5 linked regions of the Callithrix jacchus genome follow. The protein of the gene in region 2 binds, or shares a complex with, the protein of the main gene of each other region. Links are inferred from orthologs where the notes say so. Each region holds a gene or a part of one and is shown on either strand. Other genes may lie near its edges. The genes, in order: TMEM186, NDUFAF1, TMEM126B, ECSIT and ACAD9.

Region 1 (4,067 bases), on a different chromosome or scaffold from region 2:
GAGCAGTGTATATAACTGGCTTTAGTTTATAAAACAGTGTACCAGCATACGTCCATCTGGCTTTATTACACTGCAGGGCCATCCAAAGCAAGAGTCTCTAGACCTCTGGGTGGGGTTTTGTGCTCACCTGGATGACATCTCTGCTCATTGATGTGTAGTTAACAGTCCCTTCTGGTAGTCCCTTCTGCCGCTGGACATGTGAGGGGGCACAGCACAGAGTTCTGGATGTCGCTAGTGACTGCTCAAAGTCTTTCTCCATGCTGAAACCTCTATACAAATGCTTAATATCTGCTCTGGGCTGTTGAGTCCGCAAAAATTTTGACATTTATTGTTTATTCCCACACCCATCCCATGCAACAAGAAGACTTTCCATTTTATAGATGGAGGTTCAAAGAGGCTCAATAACCTCTTTGCCAGGACAAGTAACAGAACTGAGACTTCTGGCTCCAAATTCTACACTCCCCTGCCACACCTCTTTGCCTTCCCATTTCACAGCAATGGACTGTCTGGGTGACCTTGGCATAGGTTCCTTTAATAACTGGCTCCTAACAGAAACCTCCAGCCATTATCTGACTGAATGTCACACACAAGTGCTATCAGAACTTGCACTTAGCCGGGTGCGGTGGCTTACACCTGTAATCCCTGCACTTTGGGAGGCCGAGGCAGATGGATCAAGAGGTCAGGAATTTGAGACCAGCCTGGCCAACATAATGAAACCCCGTCTCTACTAAAAATACCAAAAAAGTTAGCCAGGTGTGGTGGCGAGCACCTGTAGTCCCAGCTACTCGGGAGGCTGAGGTGGGAGAAGCGCTTGAACCTGGAAGGCGGAGACTGAATAAGCTGAGTTCACACCACTCCAGCTTGGGGAAAAGAACGAACTCCATCTCAAAAAATGAAAAGAAAAAAAAAGAACTTGCATTTAGAGCCTTTTTCCTAAACCTGGACACCAAATCTCACCTTGTAAATTTCTACATCACAAAACACATGTTCCCAGGGGCCCAGGAAAGTCTCCAAGTACTCAATCCCCTTTCTTCAATCTTGCGCACACCCTCGGCCTTCCTGTCAATCCAGGCAACCCAGAATTACCCAGAGGTCCAGCTCCCAGTTGTTTACTTGAATATCTGCAGCGCCCCAAACACCTGTGTGAAACACTCTTTGTCCAGGATGCGTCCGTGGCGTAGGGTAAGGTAGAAGGTCTGTTTCCCACTGTACTGCTGGATACGCATGAACAGCTCCTCAGGGCAGTCCTTGGTTTCTGTCAGGGGTATCACATCTTCCACGGGACAGTATGTGTCCTGCCGCCAGCCCCAGAAGTTCAGGTGGGCCACCCGCAGTATGGTGCCAGACTCGTTCAGATACAGGATGCCAACCAGTCTCCGAAGGAAATAGCTCATCCAGCAGAGCATGGCCAGAGCAAAGCATGACACCCCATTCATGATGCAAAGGGACTTGAGAGTCAGGAGGCCCTGGGAGTACCAGTAATAGCCTGGTGGCAAAGCTATCACTGTCAGGGCAGTCTGTGCCAACTTCAGTCGAGACAGGTACCCGAAGGATCTGATGGCATCAAAACGGTAAAACATCCGGAATTTCTCAGTCTCTGTGTCTGGTGGTTTCTCCTTTGAGGTGGGTGACGTGCTCCCCAGCCACCTCTTAGGATCCTCCTGCCCACTGCAGCACCACCACAGCCCATGGAGAGGCCGTCCCCATGCAGTTTTTCCTGGAAACCTAGGCACAGCTCGGAGAAGGGCAGCCTGAAAGGGAGATAGTAGACCATTTCTCTTATGGAACTCAACCACATTAATCACACGGTAAACATCTGCAAAGCATCTCACTCCAAGGCTTTTGCCAATCCTGCAAGGTCACCATTATTGCCAGAGAAGGAAAGGGTAAAGCCAGATGCTACCTCATGTGAGCAACACAACAGCTACCTAAGATAGGTATCCCTATTTCCACTTTACCACTAGGGAAACTAAGCCCAGAGAGGGTAAGATGTTTACCCAAACATAGTCAGTGAGTGCAGCAGAGTCCGACTCTCAAACCGGGCCTCTTTTCACCAGGCAATTCCAAATAAATATAGGAAAAGAGGTACAGCCTTCATTAACTCACAACCTATCTAGGCAGGACCAACTCTGGGCTGGACAATGGATCCAAAAGGGGTTGTGAACATTTCCCCAAGCAGGATACTAAATAATCAGTGTCTTAGTGGGGAACTTGAGCAACAAATCTGTGAAATATTTATCCCAATAACTTTCCAATTCTGTTTGATTTATATGTCATCTTGGGTGCTAGAGGAAACTGCTGCTTTCTTAGCCTAGTCTGGGGAAGCAGAAATAGCAGAGGAGGAGGAGAGAAGCAGGAAGGCCCCAACACATAGCACAAGGATATTATTAGGTGAGTAACGAGGCAGTAAAAGTTCTGGTTCCGGTTCTGGCTCCAACAGTCACTGCCTGTGGATTCTTGAGCAAATTACTTCCTTCACACCCCTGAGCTTCCGTTTCTTCACCTTTCAAAATGGGGACTCAGAACACAGTGAACCAGAAGATGGTTTAGAGCCCTCAACTTAGTACCTGATGCACTGTGAGAGCCTGGCCAGTTTTAGCGAGTACTACTGCTGCGCACGTGACCCAAGGAGGTCAGAGAAAGCCGGGGGAATGGCGAACTGTAACCCACGCTGAAGCCTCCTACTAGGGATTCTCCGAGTCCGACAGTAGGGCGTCTTGTCTGCCTGCCCCAGCTCTGACCCCGATCCCCAAAACAAGGCTCGTCACCCGCCTCCTTACCATTGTCCCACCGCCTGCTGCCGGAAGTAAATGCCACCGGTCCCCGGAACCTCTAAGAGGGCATGCTCGAACGTACAAGGCGGGCGTGACCGCGTTGCACTCTGGGAGTTGCGGTCCAGGAATCGTGGCTGGCGCTAGTCCCAGGCATTGTGGGAACAGAGTCTCCTCTTCCCGACGTGCCCTGCAGCTCGGGGGCCGAACCCGGAAGTTCCGGGCTGAGCTCCTGGTGCCAACGAGTCTCGTCAGGAGCAGCTAGAAACTGGGGATATGGCAGGTCCCGGCCCAGCGCTCTGCCTCTTCGACGTGGATGGGACCCTCACCGCTCCGCGGCAGGTAAGTGGCGGTAGCAGCCGAGACGGAGCCCGTGCTGTTCCCAGTTGAAGTTATCGACCACCCAGGGTGGGCGCCAAGGGGTAGCTGAGGACCGCAGAAGTGTTCATGGGGGCTGAACCCTACTCGGGGTGTCCTGGAGGAATGAGAGTGAAGCTCTGACCAGCTCTTCAAGAGCTCTTGGTGCTTGGAGAGATGAGACGGGGCTGAAGAACTCCTAAGAGCAAGAAACTTGTGCTGGGTCGGAAAATGCAATCTGGATTCACGGCTGGTCCTCGGGACTGTTGGACCAGGATTTGTACCCGAGATCAAGCCCCCTTTTCAGCTATGTTACAGACATTCTCAGTCCTGTAACCAATGAGCTGTGCCGTGAATAATATTTTTAAAAGGTTTCCAGGTCAAACCGACCTAGTGGAGTCTCGTCTTCACCTCTTGACAGCTGTGTGACCTTGAGCAAGTCATTAATGTCTCTGAGCTTCAGCATCTACAGCTTTTTTTTTTTTTTTTATAGGAGTTTTCGCTTTTGTCTCCCAGGCTAGAGTGCAATGGGGCGACCTCGGCTCACTGCTGTAACCTCCGCCTCACAGGTTCAAGCAATTCTCCTGCCTCAGCCTCCGAAGTAGCTGGAATTACACGCACCTACCGCCACGCCCGGGTCCTACCTCAGCCTCCCAAGTAGCTGGGATTACAGGCACCTGCCGCCACGCCCGGGTCCTGCCTCAGCTTCCCAAGTAGCTGGGATTACAGGCACCTGCCACCACGCCATGCTAATTTTTATATTTTTAGTAGAGACAGGGTTTCACCATGTGGACCAGACTGGTCTCAAATTCCTGACCTCAGGTGATCACTCGCGTCAGCCTCCCAAAGTGCTGGGATTACAGGCATGAGCCACCACGCCTGACCTCATCTTCAGCTTTAAATGGGGATATTACCCCCTGTGCCATATGGTGTCTGTGA
Region 2 (3,514 bases):
CAGTATTTATCAAAATTACAAAAGCATTTACTCTTTAACCCAGTAATCCTACTTGCAGAAGTTGGCCTAGAGATGCATCTGCATAAATACAAAGTGATCTTGCACGTGGTTTTTCACTGAAACATAATAATAGCAATTGGCAACTTAAGTGTCCTTCAACAGAGGACTCATTAAACAACTATGGAATATCCACATAATACATAATATAAAACAAAATAAAAAATGGGCCCCTGGCATGCTGCTCGCAGTGGGGAATGTCCCAGGGAGAGCTAGCAGAGTCACAGGCTCTGCTCCACCCCATGTGGCTGTGTGAGCCAGGCCTGGCTCACCCCATGTGGAGATGGCTGAACAGTTGGACAAGAAGTACTACACCCTGGAGGAGATTCAGATGCACAACCACAGAAAGAAATCATGGCTGATCCTATACCACACGGTGTACAATTTGACCAAATTTCTGGAAAAGCATCCTGGTTGGAAAGAAGTCTAAGGAATAAGCTGGAGGTGATGCTACTGAAAACTGTGAGGATGTCTGGCACTCTACAGATGCCAGGGAACAAAGTCTCACTCTGTTGCCCAGGCTTGAGTGCAATGGCACGACTTCAGCTCACTGCAACCTCCACCTCCCGGGTTCAAGAAATTCTCGGCCAGGTGCGGTGGCTCACGCCTATAATCCCAGCACTTTGGGGGGCCAAGGTGGGTGGATCACAAGGTCAAGAGATCGAGACCATCCTGGTCAACAAGGTGAAACCCTGTCTCTACTAAAAATACAAAAATTAGCTGGGCATGGTGGTGTGTGCCTGTAATCCCAGCTACTCGGGAGGCTGAGGCAGGAGAATTGCTTGAACCCAGAAGGCGGAGGTTGCGGTGAGCCAAGATTGTGCCATTGCACTCCAGTCTGGGTAACAACAGTGAAACTCCGTCTCAAAAAAAAAAAAAAAGAAATTCTCCCGCCTCAGCCTCCTGAGTAGCTGGGACTATAGGCGTGTGCCACCATGCCCAGCTAATTTTTACATTTTTAGTAGAGATGGGGTTTCATCACCTTGGTCAGGCTGGTCTCAAACTCTGGACCTAAAGTGATCCACCCACTTCTGCCTCCCAAAGTGCTGGGATTACAGGTGTGAGCCACCATGCCCAGCCAAGAACTCATTTCTTTTCTTTTCTTTTTCTTTTTTTTGAGACAGAGTCTCGCCCTGTTGCCAGGCTGGAGTGCAATGGCGCAATCTCAGCTCACTGCAAACTCCACCTCCCAGGTTCAAGTGATTCTCCTGCCTCAGCCTCACCAGTAGCTAGGATTACAGGCATGCATCACCATGCCCAGCTAATATTTTGCATTTTTAGTAGAGACGGGGTTTCACCATGTTGTCCAGGATGGTCTTGATCTCTTAACCTCATGATCCGCCTGCTTCGGCTTCCCAAAATGCTGTTGTTGGGATTACAGGCATGAGCCACCGCGTCCGGCCTTTTTTTTTTTTTTTTTTGAGACAGTCTTTCTTGCTCTGTCACCCAGGCTGGAGTGCAATGGCGTGATCTCAGCTCACTGGAACCTCTGCCTCCCAGGTTCAAGTGATTCTACTGCCTCAGCCTACAGAGTAGCTGCGATTATAGGTATGTGCTTCCATACCTGGCTAATTTTTGTATCTTTTAGTAGAGATGGGGTTTTACCATGTTGGCCAGGCTGGTCTTGAACTCCTGACTTTATAATCTGCCTGCCTTGGCCTCCCAAAGTGCTGGGAATACATGCGTGAGGCACCGCGCCCAGCCAAGACCTCATTTTTATAAACAATGAAGATTTATGCTGTTACCTTGACCTCCTGCCAGTAGGGACCCCCTCGGGTGAACATGAAGTAACTATACAGCTGATTCTTCCTCTGGACGAAATCTGTGTCCTCCATGATATTCACCATCCAAGGCCGACCATCCCCACGTACACGGAGATACAGAGTATTAAACTGGGTCCAATCATAAGGCATCTTCCTTTCAAAAGCACCCTAAGATAATGAAAGAAAAGTTAATTGTACCTCATTCTCCACTATTACCAAAATGTGAGTCATCACCACATCAGTATCATCAACAGGATTCACTAACCATTTTTCTTTTTTGACTTTCTGTCCCATAAGGAGGCAGATAAACCCGCCAATTATTATTTTAGAACAAAATCCTGACATGATTATATGTTTCGAAGGTAATGTTCAAAACACGACTGGCCCAGGACAGTGTTTTTACATCGGGTAGGCACTCACCTGTGTTCAATGAATGGAAATAAATGTATTTCCTCTATCAGGTCTTTATGGAGCAGTGGCTTCTGAGTGGCCTATTTTATGACAACTGCCTTTCCATAAGTCAGAAAATTATGAAGAATATAGCTTCAGTTTTAAAAGTGATATTTAACAACAGTATCCAAGGCCGGGCACGGTGGCTCAAGCCTATAATCCCAGCACTTTGGGAGGTCGAGGCAGTTGGATCACGAGGTTAAGAGATTGAGACCACCCTAGTCAACAAGGTGAAACCCCATCTCTACTAAAAATATAAAAAATTAGCTGGGCATGGTGGCACATGCCTGTAATCCCAGCTACTCAGGAGGCTGAGGCAGGAGAATTGCCTGAACCCAAGAGGTGGAGGTTGCGGTGAGCCGAGATCGCGCCATTGCACTCCAGCCTAGGTAACAAAAGCAAAACTCCGTCTCAAAAAAAAAAAAGGAAAGAAACTGAGCTAATAAGTGGTATAGTTCAGCTATTAAGTGGTATATTCAGTGCTGTTTAACTCCAAATCTGTGTGCTTAACAACTATCTATACTGCCTCTATGTTCAAAAGTGCAATGTAGTGTTCATTTCCAACAGCAGTTAGAGCAATCTCAAGGTTACTCAGATGTCAAGGATACCAATGTCTAGATATGAAGTAATATTTATTAGCCATTTAACTTTGGACAAGTTACTAAATTTCTCCAAGTCTGTTTCCTCATCCATAAAACCGGGATGATCTTACCTCAGGAGATTGTTGTGAGACATAAATAACGTATATAAAGTGCTTAGCACAAGGACTAGCAGGATATACTTAATAACTGTTATCTACTATTTTCATTATTCCAAAATGAATATTTGGGCCGGGTGTAGTGGCTGACACCTGTAATCCCAGCACTCCGAGAGGCCAAGGCAGGCAGATCACCTGAGGTCAGGAGTTCAAGACAAGCCTGGCCAACATGGTAAAACCCCATCTCTACCAAGAAATACAAAAATTAGTCAGGAATAGTGGTGCATGCCAATATTCCCAGCCTCTCTGGAGGCTGAGGCAGGAGAATTGCTTGAACACGGGAGGTAGAGGTTGCAATGAGCCAAGATCACACCACCGCAATCCAGCCTGGGTGACAGAGTAAGACTCTGTCAGGAGGTCTGGAGTTTGAGACCAGCCTAGCCAACTTGGTGAAACCCCGTCTCTACTAAAATTGCAAAAATTAGCCAGGTATGGTAGCGGGCACCTGTAATCCCAGCTACTCGGGAGGCTGAGACAGGAGAATCAC
Region 3 (4,314 bases), on a different chromosome or scaffold from region 2:
ATAATTCCTTACAGAATTTATAGATTCAGATTTAAAAACATTTATAGTTTAGTAGTGTGCCAGGTACTATGTCAGCTGCTTTCACATACTTTATGTTAATAATTCAATCAATATTTAGTGAGTTCTTATTATCTGTTAGACACTGGCTTTTTGTTATATATATTTTTTCTTGCTAAACACCCTACAATGCACAGATACTGGCTTTCTGATTCACACACTAACCCAAGAAATTGGTAGTATGATGATTATCTCTATACAGATGAGAAAACTGAGGTTCTGAAAGGTTCGCTTGCCTTAAGATTTAGTGTAGAAGAATGACATACTGATACTGTTTCTGTTTTCCTTAGTTTTCTCCTCTCCTGATTCCAAGAAGGTAGTCAGGCCCTTTGTAGTTGTCCTAGTTCTTCAGGTGGGGAAGTGGAAACAGTGGCTGCTTATTGACATCTTTATCCCCAGTTTCTCATGAAAGACTGCGCTTATTTTGGAAATAGTGCTGTATTTCCTGGAGAGGTAGCAGAGAGCAGGGATTGCCTTGGAGAACAGCGAGAGAGAAAATCAGAAAGAGGGGCACTGCTCCAGAAAGGGAACAGGCAGTGGATGGTGGCTACTACTTTGGAGTACATAAATTATATATCCCGTTCCCTATTAGCATCTGTGGTGGAAGCAGAGCCTTTGTGAGAAATGGGCATGTGCCAGAGCAGAGGCCCATGGCACTGGGCTCCTCGGTTGTAAGGTTCTTGTGTCCTAAGTGTGATAAATAGACAGCTGCCAATGTCAAGGGACCATGAAGATTTGGCCAGTAGCATCTTAACAGAAACTAGAGAGGTTAAAAAACAAAACAACAAAAAAGCAAACCCTGCACTCTCAGACAGGATCCTTTCTGAAGTTTTGCTCTGGGCAAGACTCTACGGTCTCTGTGAAGTCTTAATAACATTTGTTAAATCCAAACATGTGGCTGCAAATGTTTACCTACTACAGCAGCAAGTGGAAGGTCTATTGATGCTAAGTTCACTGCTTCTTACTCTTTTTCATCTGGATTAGCCAAACAGCCTCTTCACAAATTTACACTAATCCCAATTTTAATGTTTATATTAAAGGCAAATACTAAATCTCAAATTTAAGGAGTCCTAGGCAAGAGAATTAGAGTGGATGAAGCATAATGAACACAGAAGATACTTAATAAATCAGTGGTTCTCAACCTTCAGCATGCACAAGAATCATGTGGCGTATTTATTTGAAATGCAGTCTCATGAACTCCCTCCTGAGATAACTGGATTCCGTAACAGTAGAATGAGGCCTAGACTCTCCATTTTAATAGCACCAAGGGTTTCTGATGCTGTAGTCAATGGACATACGTTGAATATCACTGTAATACTCATTTGCTGAATGAGCAGTATGTTCCAGTCCTAACTATAGAAGGGCCAGCTAATTATCCACAGCTCCTGCTCCTGGCATCAACATACAGAAGGTATGGGCTCCTTTGAACTTTCTCATGGTGTTACACAGGGAGTAATAATGGACCAGTTTCTTTCTCTGCATCATTGCACAACTGTACTCGATCTTTTTCTGTAACATTTCTGGAGAGGGCAGGGGGAAAAAAGGTAAAATATTTTACAGATTACAAATTTTCAGGGACTAGACTTAATCTTTTGCCTCTCCCTGACACCCAAATGTAAAGTATAAGAGATAGTAACATCTAAGGGAGGTTGTATACCTAACCCATCTATTGTACTAAAAGGGCAGATGCCAATAACATGAGTAACCATAAACCTTAGATAAATTTTTGTTTTGCTCTCATCCAATTCATTGAAGTCCCCCACCTCCCACCAAAAACGAAAAACAAAACAAACTTTCAGGCAACATCCTCTACTAATCTCCTACCTAGTCTACACCCTAAAATCTCTATAGGGAAAACACCCAGGATTATGATTACAGGACAGCAAATACTAAATGCTGAAAACAACACAGGAAATATTTATTAAGTGCTTAAGCTTTCCAAGGCACTGTCGAAGATCAACTGCTTTCATTACACCCCTCCCCTTTTAAGGCCACTCAACTAATCACCACATTTATACCAGTAAGACTGCATATATGTAGGTTTATAGTTTGCAAAGCATTTGACGGTTTTGTAGTGCTTTCAGGTTTATTATTTCACCTAAACTTTAGAATTTCATTGAATGTTCGCTCATCATTTAGGGAGTACCTGGTATATGCCAGGCCTCCCGGTAATCCCATCCTTGGGAATCCACAATGTAGTGAGGGTTTAGAACAATTTAAACGCAGAATGAGAGAGCGACATAAACAAAAAACCCAACAAACCAAGAAAAGGCAAACGATCTAGCCAGAGGAAGCATGGGAAGGCTTCCCCGAGGAAGTGGCATTTAAACCAATGCCCGAAAGAGAACAATTTGCCACAGGAGTTGGGATGGATAGAAGCAGGAAAATATTCCAAGTTGAAGAAAAGGCCTTTGCAAAGACCTGGAGACAAGAGAAAACAAACTGCAGATAATGAGGACTTGACTTTAGGTCTTCTACGTTCTCTCCGCCTCTTTCCACAGCAACTGGAGACTTAAATCGACTGCTCCTTGCATGGACTTGGGAGCTGTGTTCTTTAACGTTTCAAATCTCCTTTACATGTATCATCTTAGAAGAGTCTGCCAACACTTTGAAGCTGCAGAAATCACCCCCACTATACCACTTCGGGTTTCCGCCTACCTTGGGCGCTTCCTCAGCTCCCACCGGCTCCACACCTGAATCCAACTTAGCCCCAGCCTCATACCCGAGCGCCGCCATTTTGATGACTCACGTGACTTGCAAGGGGGCGGGGACCCAGAACGCCCTGGGAGGGAAGTGGTGCTGATTTACGGCTCACGCGTCTCGCTTGCAGCCCGGGCCGGCCCCCACTCAGTCAAAAGCCGCGCCCTCCATCCTGACTGTGATTGGGCGCGGAATCTGGAAATTACGGCCACTCATTTGCTTAGAAGAGGTCCAGATGCCTGCGGGCCCGCCCCGCTCGCCAGCCGAGTATTTCCTCCTCTTGCTATTTGTCAGTCTAGCTACCGCCTCTCCCCGCGTCCTGCGGGTAAGATGGGGCGGCCCGAATTTTGGAATGTTGCTGCGCTCCTGCCTCTCCTCAGGGCAGCTCTGTTAGCTGGGAACTAGCTGCCTGCCCCTTTCAGTCCTTGAGGGAACTCGCCCCTTTGACCTGGCCTGTGTGTTAAAGCTCTGCTTCTCGGGCACCTCCTCCTCAAAACCCCCAACCAGCAGCCGAATGCCGTCAAAGCAGCCCCGACTAGCCTCCTCCCCTCTCAGCCGTCTGACTCCTCTCCCCAGTCTGTAGTCCCCTCATTTCCATGCTTAAGCCCCGCTTGGAAAGAGACCGTAGAGAAATTTGCTCCCTACCCCCCGAGAAGACCCGTTTGTCAGCCGTGTCTTGGGGTAGGGGGCACTGCAAGGCCTGACGCTATTTTGTGCGCTTAAATGCCCAGCAGTATCTCCCAGACCGGCAACCCCCGACCCTCCAGTCTCCATATCTTAGAAAAGCCAAATTCGAGAGTTATATAATTTCTAGTGCTGCTGTTGCTCCTGCCTGAGGAAACACTTCATCGCGTGAAGGGTGCAGGACATTTCAGTGCTCTTCCCTAAAAGAACGGGGCTTGGGCAGGGGTGGCCAGCGGTGTCAGAGAAATGTCCTGTCTTTTCTGCAAAAGGAAGGTGGGTAGTTTGAAGAGAGATTGAGAGAAAAGGTGGATGTGAAAACCAAGCAGCTGCACTTTCTCATTTAGGAAATCGCGGACCGTTTGCATAGCTTATGCTTACATGTCTAATACTACTACGGCGTCTCTGAAAACACCTCTGGGAGAAGGTTTGGCTTCTCTTGAAGTTTCAGTGTTTTTCCTTGCCGGATAGGGAGCTGCTTGTATGCGAAGAGATGGCATAATGTGAATGACTCCAGTGTGAAGAAGTCTCCTTCGCCAACTCATCCTGCATCAAGTGCCCATTGAGTAGCACTGTCACTTTAATGTCTCCATGCCAAGGGATTGCTTTCCTTTTTTTCAATCCTCTTGGTTAATACATGGGAGGATCAGAATCAGAGGGGCATTAAAGGATCAAGCCTGGGGGCTTGGAGAGCACAGAAGAAAAAAATGAAAGTGACAGCAGGCTGGATCCTGAGTTACTGAGAGGGTGAGATCTGAAACTTCTGATCAGTAAATAGAAGGGGGCCTTTCAGTGTGTGTTCTGCCCCAGAAAGCTGTTCAAACTCACCTACCTTTTTAGAGACTGGAGTCAAAGAGGTTTTTAAAAGTATTTTTT
Region 4 (3,514 bases), on a different chromosome or scaffold from region 2:
TTAGCTATACACACACACACACACACACACACACACACACATTTATTTTTTAGAGACAAGGTTTCACTCTGTCGTTTAGGCTGGAGTACAGCAACACAATCATAGTTCACTGCAGCCTGGAAATCCTGGGCTCAAGCAATCCTCTGGCTTCAGCCTCCTGAGTAGCTGGGACTACAGGCATACGTCACCACGCTCAGCTTATTTTTTAATTTTTTCATAGAGAAATGGAGTCTCAGCCGGGCTCAGTGGCTCACACCTGTAATCCCAGCATTTTGGGAGGCTGAGGCGGGCAGATCACGAGGTCAGGAGTTTGAGGCCAGCCTGGCCAATATGGTGAAATCTTGTCTCTACCAAAAATAGAAAACTTAGCTGGGCATGGTGGTGCACAGCCAGCTACTTGGAGGCTGAGGCAGGAGAATCACTTGAACCCCAGGAGATGGAGGTTGCAATGAGCCAAGATCGTGCCACTGCACTCCAGCCTGGCAACAGAGTGAGGGTCCGTCTCATAAATAAATAGAGAGAGAGAGAGAGAGAGAGAGAGAGAGAGAGAGAGAGAGAGTCCCACTATGTTACCCAGACTGCAGTGCAGTGGTGCAATCAAAGCACACTACAGCCTTGAACTCCTGGCTTCAGGCAGTCCAACCACCTCTGCCTCCAAAGTAGCTGGGACTATCAGGCACTCACCACCTTGCCTGGATAATTAGCTATATATTTTTAAAGATGCCTTATATGTAACCCTTCTAATTTAAACATTCAATTTTAATTAAAATAAGAAATTCGTTACTGTATCATCTAGAACCAGGATTTGGCAAACTTTTTCATAAAGGGTCACATAGTAAATATTTTCAACTTTGCAGGCCACATGGGCTCCCTCACAACTATTCAATTACTTTGAGCTACACTGTAACATAAAAGTAGCCCCAGGTAGCCTCAGTGGCTCAAGCCTATAACCCCAACACTGGGAGGCTGAGGCAGAAGGATCTCTTGAGCCCAGAAGTTTGAGACCAGCCTGGGCAACATAGTGTAACCCCGTCTCTACAAAAAGATACAAAAATTAGCCTGGCTTTTAGTGATGCATGCCTGTAGTCCCAGCTACCCTGGACGCTGAGGTGGGAGAATCACTGGAGCCCAGGAGTTCTGGGCTGTTGTGCACTGTGCTGATGGAGCATCCTGCACTACGTTTTGTGTGAATATTGTGACCTCCTGGGACTTGGGGGACCACCAGGTTGCCTAAGGAAGGGTGTACTGACCCAGGTTGGAAACAGAGCAGGTCAAAACTCCTGTGCTGATCAGTTGGCTCATGCCTGTGATTAACCACTACACTTTAGCCTGGGCAACACAGCTAGACTTCATCTCTTAAAGAAAAAAGGGTGTCCTAGCACTTTGGGAGGCTGCAGTGAGTGGATCACCTGAGGTCAGGAATTTGAGACCATCCTGGCCAACTTGGTGAAACCCCATCCCTACTAAAAATACAAAAATAGGCTGGGTACGGTGGCTTATATCTGTAATCCCAGCACTTTGGCAGGTTGAGGTGGGTGGATCATGAGATCAGGAGTTTGAGACCAGCCTAGCCAAGATGGTGAAATCCCATCTTTACTAAAATATAAAAATTAGTGGGGCATGGCGGAGCACATCTGTAGTCCCTGTTTGGGAGGCTGAGGCATGAGAATCGCTTGAACATAGGAGGCAGAGGTTGCATTGAGCTGAGGTCATGGCACTGCACTCTAGCATGAGTGACAAAGTGAGACTCTGCCTCAAAAAAAGAAAAAAAGAAATCCCAACACTTTGGGAGGTGGAGACAAGATGATCACTTAAAGCCAGGTGTTTAAGACCAGCCTGGGCAAAATAGTACAACTCCACCTCTGCTGAAAATTTAAAAATTAGCCAGGTGCCATGATGTACACCTGTAATGCCAGCTACTGGACAGGCTGACAGGGAGAATTCTTAAGCCCAGGACTTCAAAGCTGCAGTAAGCCAGAGTAGCACCCTACACTCCAGCCTAGGCCACAGAGCCAGCCCTGTCTGAAAAAAAAAAAAAAAAAAAAGGCTGGGCACAGTGGCTCACTCCTGTAATCCTAGCACTTTGGGAGGTGAAGGCAGGCGGATCACCTGAGGTCAGGAGTTCCAGACCAACCTAGCCAACATGGTGAAACCCCATCGCTACTAAAAATATAAAAATTAGTTGGGCGCAGTGACGGGAGCCCGTAATCCCAGCTACTCTGGAGGCCAAGGCAGGACAATTGCATGAACCCAGGAAAAGGAGGTTGTAGTGAGCCGAGATTGCCCCATTGCACTCCAGCCTGGAGGACAGCAACGCTTTGTCTCAAAAAAAAAAAAAAAGGGCATGTGTGTGTCATCACTATGAATATTACCAAGTTGCCTCCATGGCAGTTTTTAGCAGCTGCCCCATGGCTGACAGCGCCTGTTTTCTCCCTGCCATGCCAGCACTGTGTTTTATTGCACTTTGTAGTGGCCTCGAATCTTGGGTTTGTAACCACAGTTTCCTACCTCCAAGGTCCTCAGGGAGGCCACTGGCACCTCTCCAAGGAAAAAGCCAGCCTGGCAGCCCCCCTACCCCAGACACTGGGAGGTGTCAGATTCCAGCAGTTCTCCTCCCTCCCCAGGTCGCCCGCCAGCTCCCTCGGGGCCTCCACTGCAGCGCAGCCACCCACAGCTCTGAAACGGCGCTGGTTCCCACCCCAACGGAACCCCAGCAGAGACGCACCAAGGCCGTGGTGCCCTATGAAAACATGTTTGGGCAGGCGCCCAATGGGAAACGGGACAAGGCGAGCTTCCTGCAGGCGGTGCAGAAGTTTGGGGAGCACAGCGTGCGTAAGCGGGGCCACGTTGACTTTATCTACCTGGCCCTGCGCAAGATGCGTGAGTATGGCGTTGAGCGGGACCTGGCCGTGTACAACCAGCTGCTCGACATCTTCCCCAAGGAGGTCTTCCGGCCTCGCAACTTCATCCAGCACATCTTCATCCACTATCCTCGGCAGCAGCAGTGTGGGGTGGCCGTCCTGGAGCAGATGGAGAACCACGGTGAGGACAGGAGGCCCTTGTGGGGTGGGGAGTGGGCTGCCCTGAGAGCTGGCAGCACCTCTCCTGGGTCTCAGCCCCTCCTTCCTCCACAGCTCCCGTCCCCCTCCCAGTCTCTCTTTCCCTTCCCCTTTCCTTTCTCTTCTCTTTCTCTTGCCCCTTTCCCTTCCCCTCCCCTTCCCTTCCTCTCTTTCTCTTTTTCTTTTCTTTCTTCCTTTTTTTTTTTGAGATGGAGTCTCCCTCTGTCACCAGGCTGGAGTGCAGTGGTGCATTCTTGGCTCACTGCAAACTCCGACTCCCTGGTTCAAGTAATTCTCCTGTCAGCCTCCAGAGTAGCTGGGACTACAGGCACACGCCACCACACCTACCTAATTTTTTTGTATTTTTAGTGGAGATGGCGTTTCACCATGTTGGCTGGGATGGTCTCCATCTCCTGACCTCGTGATCCGCCCGCCTCGGCCACCTAAAGTGCTGG
Region 5 (3,514 bases), on a different chromosome or scaffold from region 2:
CCTCTCACCATTTCTCTCAGGAGCTCAATTCCAGCTTAAAAACAATTGTTGGGGGCACCAAAGTAGGGTCCCCCAAAGGGTAGCCATCTTTTTTACACAGCGAAAAATGATACCCTCCACCGTGAACAAAACAAAAGCAACAGAAAACTCTAGTATCTACCTCAACCAAATAAGATAATCTTCCCACCTCAGCCTCCCAAGTACAGGTGTGTACCACCACGACAGCTGATTTTTGTATTTTTTTGTAGAGATGGAGTTTTGCCATGTTGCCCAGGCTCGTATACTTAGTTGTTTTTTTTTTTTTTTTTGAGATGGAGTTCACTCTTGTTGCCCAGGCTGGAGTGCAGTGGCACGACCTCGGCTCACTGCAACCTCTGCTCCCTGGGTTCAAGCGATTCTCCTGCCTCAGCCTTCCAAGTGGCTGGGACTACAGGTGCCCGCCACCTTGCCCGGCTATTTTTTTCTATTTTTAGTAGAGATGGGGTTTCATCATGTTGGCCAGGCTGGTCTCGAACTCTAGACCTCTGTGATCCACCCACTTCAGCCTCCAAAAGTGCTGGGATTATAGGCGTGAGCCACCATGCCTTGCCATATATTTAGTTTTTAAGAGGACGTTTTGAAACCAAAAAGTAGGAAGGCCATAAATTAAGGAAAAAAGTTCTTCTCACAAAAGCCAGCTGCAATGTTATTATTCTAAAAGGACGTTAACAGAATGGTCTCCTTCTGCTATAAACTGCTGATCCACTGGCAAAAGCTTGGTAGAAACTGCACTGTGGGAGCATGGAGCCTTCCTACAAACTGCTGCTCACCAGTCACTTCCCTGCTGCTGCAGCTCCCCGCCCACTGCCTGTCTATCCCTGGAGTGCTGCACAGGGCTAGTGCATCATAAATACTGGATCAATGACAGGAGGAAGATGATAGGCAACAGCATAGGCTTGAAAGGTCACAGTGAGGGAGCTTTCCCAAGCCTCCCTCCAGCGCCAGCTCTCTGGCTATGCCACTGTTACCTTCACCATGGCCGCCTCAATGGAGCAGTCGGGAAAGCCCGGTTGGTCTAGCATCCCTGCTGTGAGGTAGGTCATACTCTCCATGGCATAAGCCTTCTGAGCCATCAGTGCAAACTTCTCCTGGAGTATTCAGAAAAAAACACAAGAAGCAATTTGCATGTGCTGAGAGCCAAATCTTCAGAACAGGAGAGAAGGTAATTAAGTCAGAATCCTGAATGCCCAAGAAAAGCAAGCCCAGCGACCCTTGTTAAATAAAGCCTTAACTAGTCTTCTTCCCAAATCACCACAGAAGAGTCACCAGTACAGACATCAAAAGAACACAGTCATGTCACACAGTGAAATCCACAAAGACAGCACTCAACTGTCTATACCTGAATCAATCCAAATTCGCTGAGTCTCTTGTTAAACTGTTTCCTTGTGCAGGCATACTCAGCAGTCATTTCTGAGGAAGAGCAGAGTCATTAGAAAGAACTGGAACTTTTGTTATTGAAACATAATTTCCTATGGCCATCATCCTTACCCTTCCCACAGGCAGGCACTATGAGAAGCATGTCTGCTGAGATCAAATGCCCCAGAAGCTAGTAACTCCACTTGTCAGCACCCATGGGTCAGAGGAGAACCACCCCTCCTAATGGAATCTACAGTTTAGCATCAGATACAGACTTGAATCCTGGCAATGGTTCTTACAGCCAGTGGCCTGGGCCAAGCATGTCACCTCCCTGAAGATGCAACCAGGTGGAAGGCAGAAGGCTCCTCACACAAAGCCAGGCACAGAAGCCCCAGAGAGAGGCGGTGCAGGCCCAAACCCAGCGCACAGTGCTCCTGACCAAAGCAGGTGGGGCTGCCCGGCTTGAATACTCAGGCTGGGACTTCCAGGCATGTGGTTGTGACCAAGTGCTGAGCTCTGAGGGCCCATGAATTAGATGGCGCCTCTCCCAGGCAGAAGCACCTCACCACCACCACCTGCCGCCCGTAGCTATGTTCTCCACAGGCTCTCCCAGGTGTGGCGCACTCAGGAGGTGAACAGGGCTGAGTTCCCCAGAGGACTTGCAAGTGAGAAAAGCCCTGAGCCTGGAGCCTGAGAGCTTTAGTTTTGGGTCCAGTTGCCCTCTCTGAGCCTCTGTCTTCTCATCTCTAAAATGGAGGTAAACCAAAACAAGTATGCCCATCTTGGCCCAAAAGAGGCCGGCCCAGAGCCTGGCATCCAAAGAGGAGCTTCATAAAGCACTTAGGGATGTGCCATCCCAGGCATTCCCATTTCCTCACAGATGCTTCCACAACAGACAGGATGGTTACAGGGTTGTTCTAAGCTCACTGGCAAAGGAAAATGGAGGTTTCAGGTATCCTGACAGAACAGAACAAAAAAAGATCCAGAGGCCCAGGGACCTGGGTTCCAAACCACTCCCCACACACCATGCAGTCACTGAGGCAGCGTGAACCTTGGGCACCAGAGGCCATGTGTCCTGGGAGCCTGGCTCATGGTACGTGCTTACCAAGCAGCTCTGCCCCTATTCCTCTCGCGCCAGACAGAAAGCCCCTTCCCCCATCCCCATCCCGTGTGGAAGTGAAACAGAGGAATTCGAAGATAACCAATTCAGGGGCAGGCTGAGGAGACCCTCTGGTCTCCACAAAAGCCCATGGACGGAGCTCAGGCTAGACCCTCAGTGGAGGTGGCCTAGTTCAGCACCAGCCTGGAAGTGGCCGGGGGAATGGCAGAGCCTCCAGGGATGGAGCCGGGGCAGCAGGAAGTGGAACACAAAGGGTCTTGTCCCTGACTTACCTACCAATCAATCTCTTGAGCATCCCAGCCACAGCGCTGCCCATACTGAACCGGCCACTGTTGAGGATGTCCATGGCCACCTGCAGGGAGAAAGGGAGAGCCCAGGGGCCCTGAAGGAGGCAGGGGGAGGAGGCCATAACCACACGTCTACCTTTACCAGACCAGGCAAACGGATCAGCTTGCCTTCCCTCGGGCTGGGAGAAAGCACTGTCCTAACATCTCGGAACTAAGTAGTTCACTCACAGTTGCAGCTCTACCAATGTCCCCGCACACAAGAAAGACCACTGAACGTTATTCCAAAGGAACATGCCAGAGCTGGGCATGGTGGCTCCCACCTGTAGTACCAGCATTTTGGGAGGCCAAGGCAGGAGGATCACTTGAACCCAGGAGTTCCAGACTAACTTGGGCCCACTAGAAATTCTACATTTAGGTATAAAGCAAAATAACTGAAAACATATTTCCACACAAAAACTTGACATGAATGTTCATTATTGATAGCAGCCAAAAGTGCTAACAACCCAATGCCCATCAGCTGGTGAATGGATGAACAAAATGTGCTATCTCCACTCAACAAAAGATAATTTAGCCATAAAAGGAATGAATTACTTATTCATGCTACAAGAGAGATGAACCTTGAAAACATCACACTATGTGAGAGAAGCCTGTCACCAAAGACTGGATCTTGCATATGACTGTATTTCTATGAAATGTTCCGAACATGCAAATC

The links.
Region 1: NDUFAF1 (region 2) and TMEM186 share a complex: the UniProt entries of both Homo sapiens proteins name them as parts of the mitochondrial complex. The link is inferred for Callithrix jacchus from reciprocal best matches to the Homo sapiens genes NDUFAF1 and TMEM186.
Region 3: NDUFAF1 (region 2) and TMEM126B share a complex: the UniProt entries of both Homo sapiens proteins name them as parts of the mitochondrial complex. The link is inferred for Callithrix jacchus from reciprocal best matches to the Homo sapiens genes NDUFAF1 and TMEM126B.
Region 4: NDUFAF1 (region 2) and ECSIT share a complex: the UniProt entries of both Homo sapiens proteins name them as parts of the mitochondrial complex. The link is inferred for Callithrix jacchus from reciprocal best matches to the Homo sapiens genes NDUFAF1 and ECSIT.
Region 5: NDUFAF1 (region 2) and ACAD9 share a complex: the UniProt entries of both Homo sapiens proteins name them as parts of the mitochondrial complex. The link is inferred for Callithrix jacchus from reciprocal best matches to the Homo sapiens genes NDUFAF1 and ACAD9.

What each region holds. Positions count from the first base shown.
Region 1 is NC_133513.1:11,045,553-11,049,619, forward strand, and holds the start of TMEM186 (transmembrane protein 186), read right to left. Parts: upstream 2,809-4,067; 5' UTR 2,784-2,808; coding exon 2,781-2,783; intron 1,752-2,780; coding exon 1,110-1,751; 3' UTR 1-1,109. Other genes in the region: PMM2 (phosphomannomutase 2), read left to right, coding at 3,048-3,113. UniProt on the Homo sapiens protein: As part of the MCIA complex, required for efficient assembly of the mitochondrial complex I.
Region 2 is NC_133509.1:45,212,940-45,216,453, reverse strand, and holds part of NDUFAF1 (complex I intermediate-associated protein 30, mitochondrial), read right to left. Parts: intron 1,989-3,514; coding exon 1,803-1,988; intron 1-1,802. UniProt on the Homo sapiens protein: As part of the MCIA complex, involved in the assembly of the mitochondrial complex I.
Region 3 is NC_133511.1:54,664,683-54,668,996, forward strand, and holds the start of TMEM126B (complex I assembly factor TMEM126B, mitochondrial), read right to left. Parts: upstream 2,807-4,314; 5' UTR 2,794-2,806; coding exon 2,716-2,793; exon of another isoform or gene 1-2,715. UniProt on the Homo sapiens protein: As part of the MCIA complex, involved in the assembly of the mitochondrial complex I. Participates in constructing the membrane arm of complex I.
Region 4 is NC_133523.1:10,650,124-10,653,637, reverse strand, and holds part of ECSIT (evolutionarily conserved signaling intermediate in Toll pathway, mitochondrial), read left to right. Parts: intron 1-2,624; coding exon 2,625-3,042; intron 3,043-3,514.
Region 5 is NC_133516.1:73,261,004-73,264,517, forward strand, and holds part of ACAD9 (complex I assembly factor ACAD9, mitochondrial), read right to left. Parts: intron 2,868-3,514; coding exon 2,792-2,867; intron 1,450-2,791; coding exon 1,379-1,449; intron 1,128-1,378; coding exon 1,008-1,127; intron 1-1,007. UniProt on the Homo sapiens protein: As part of the MCIA complex, primarily participates in the assembly of the mitochondrial complex I and therefore plays a role in oxidative phosphorylation.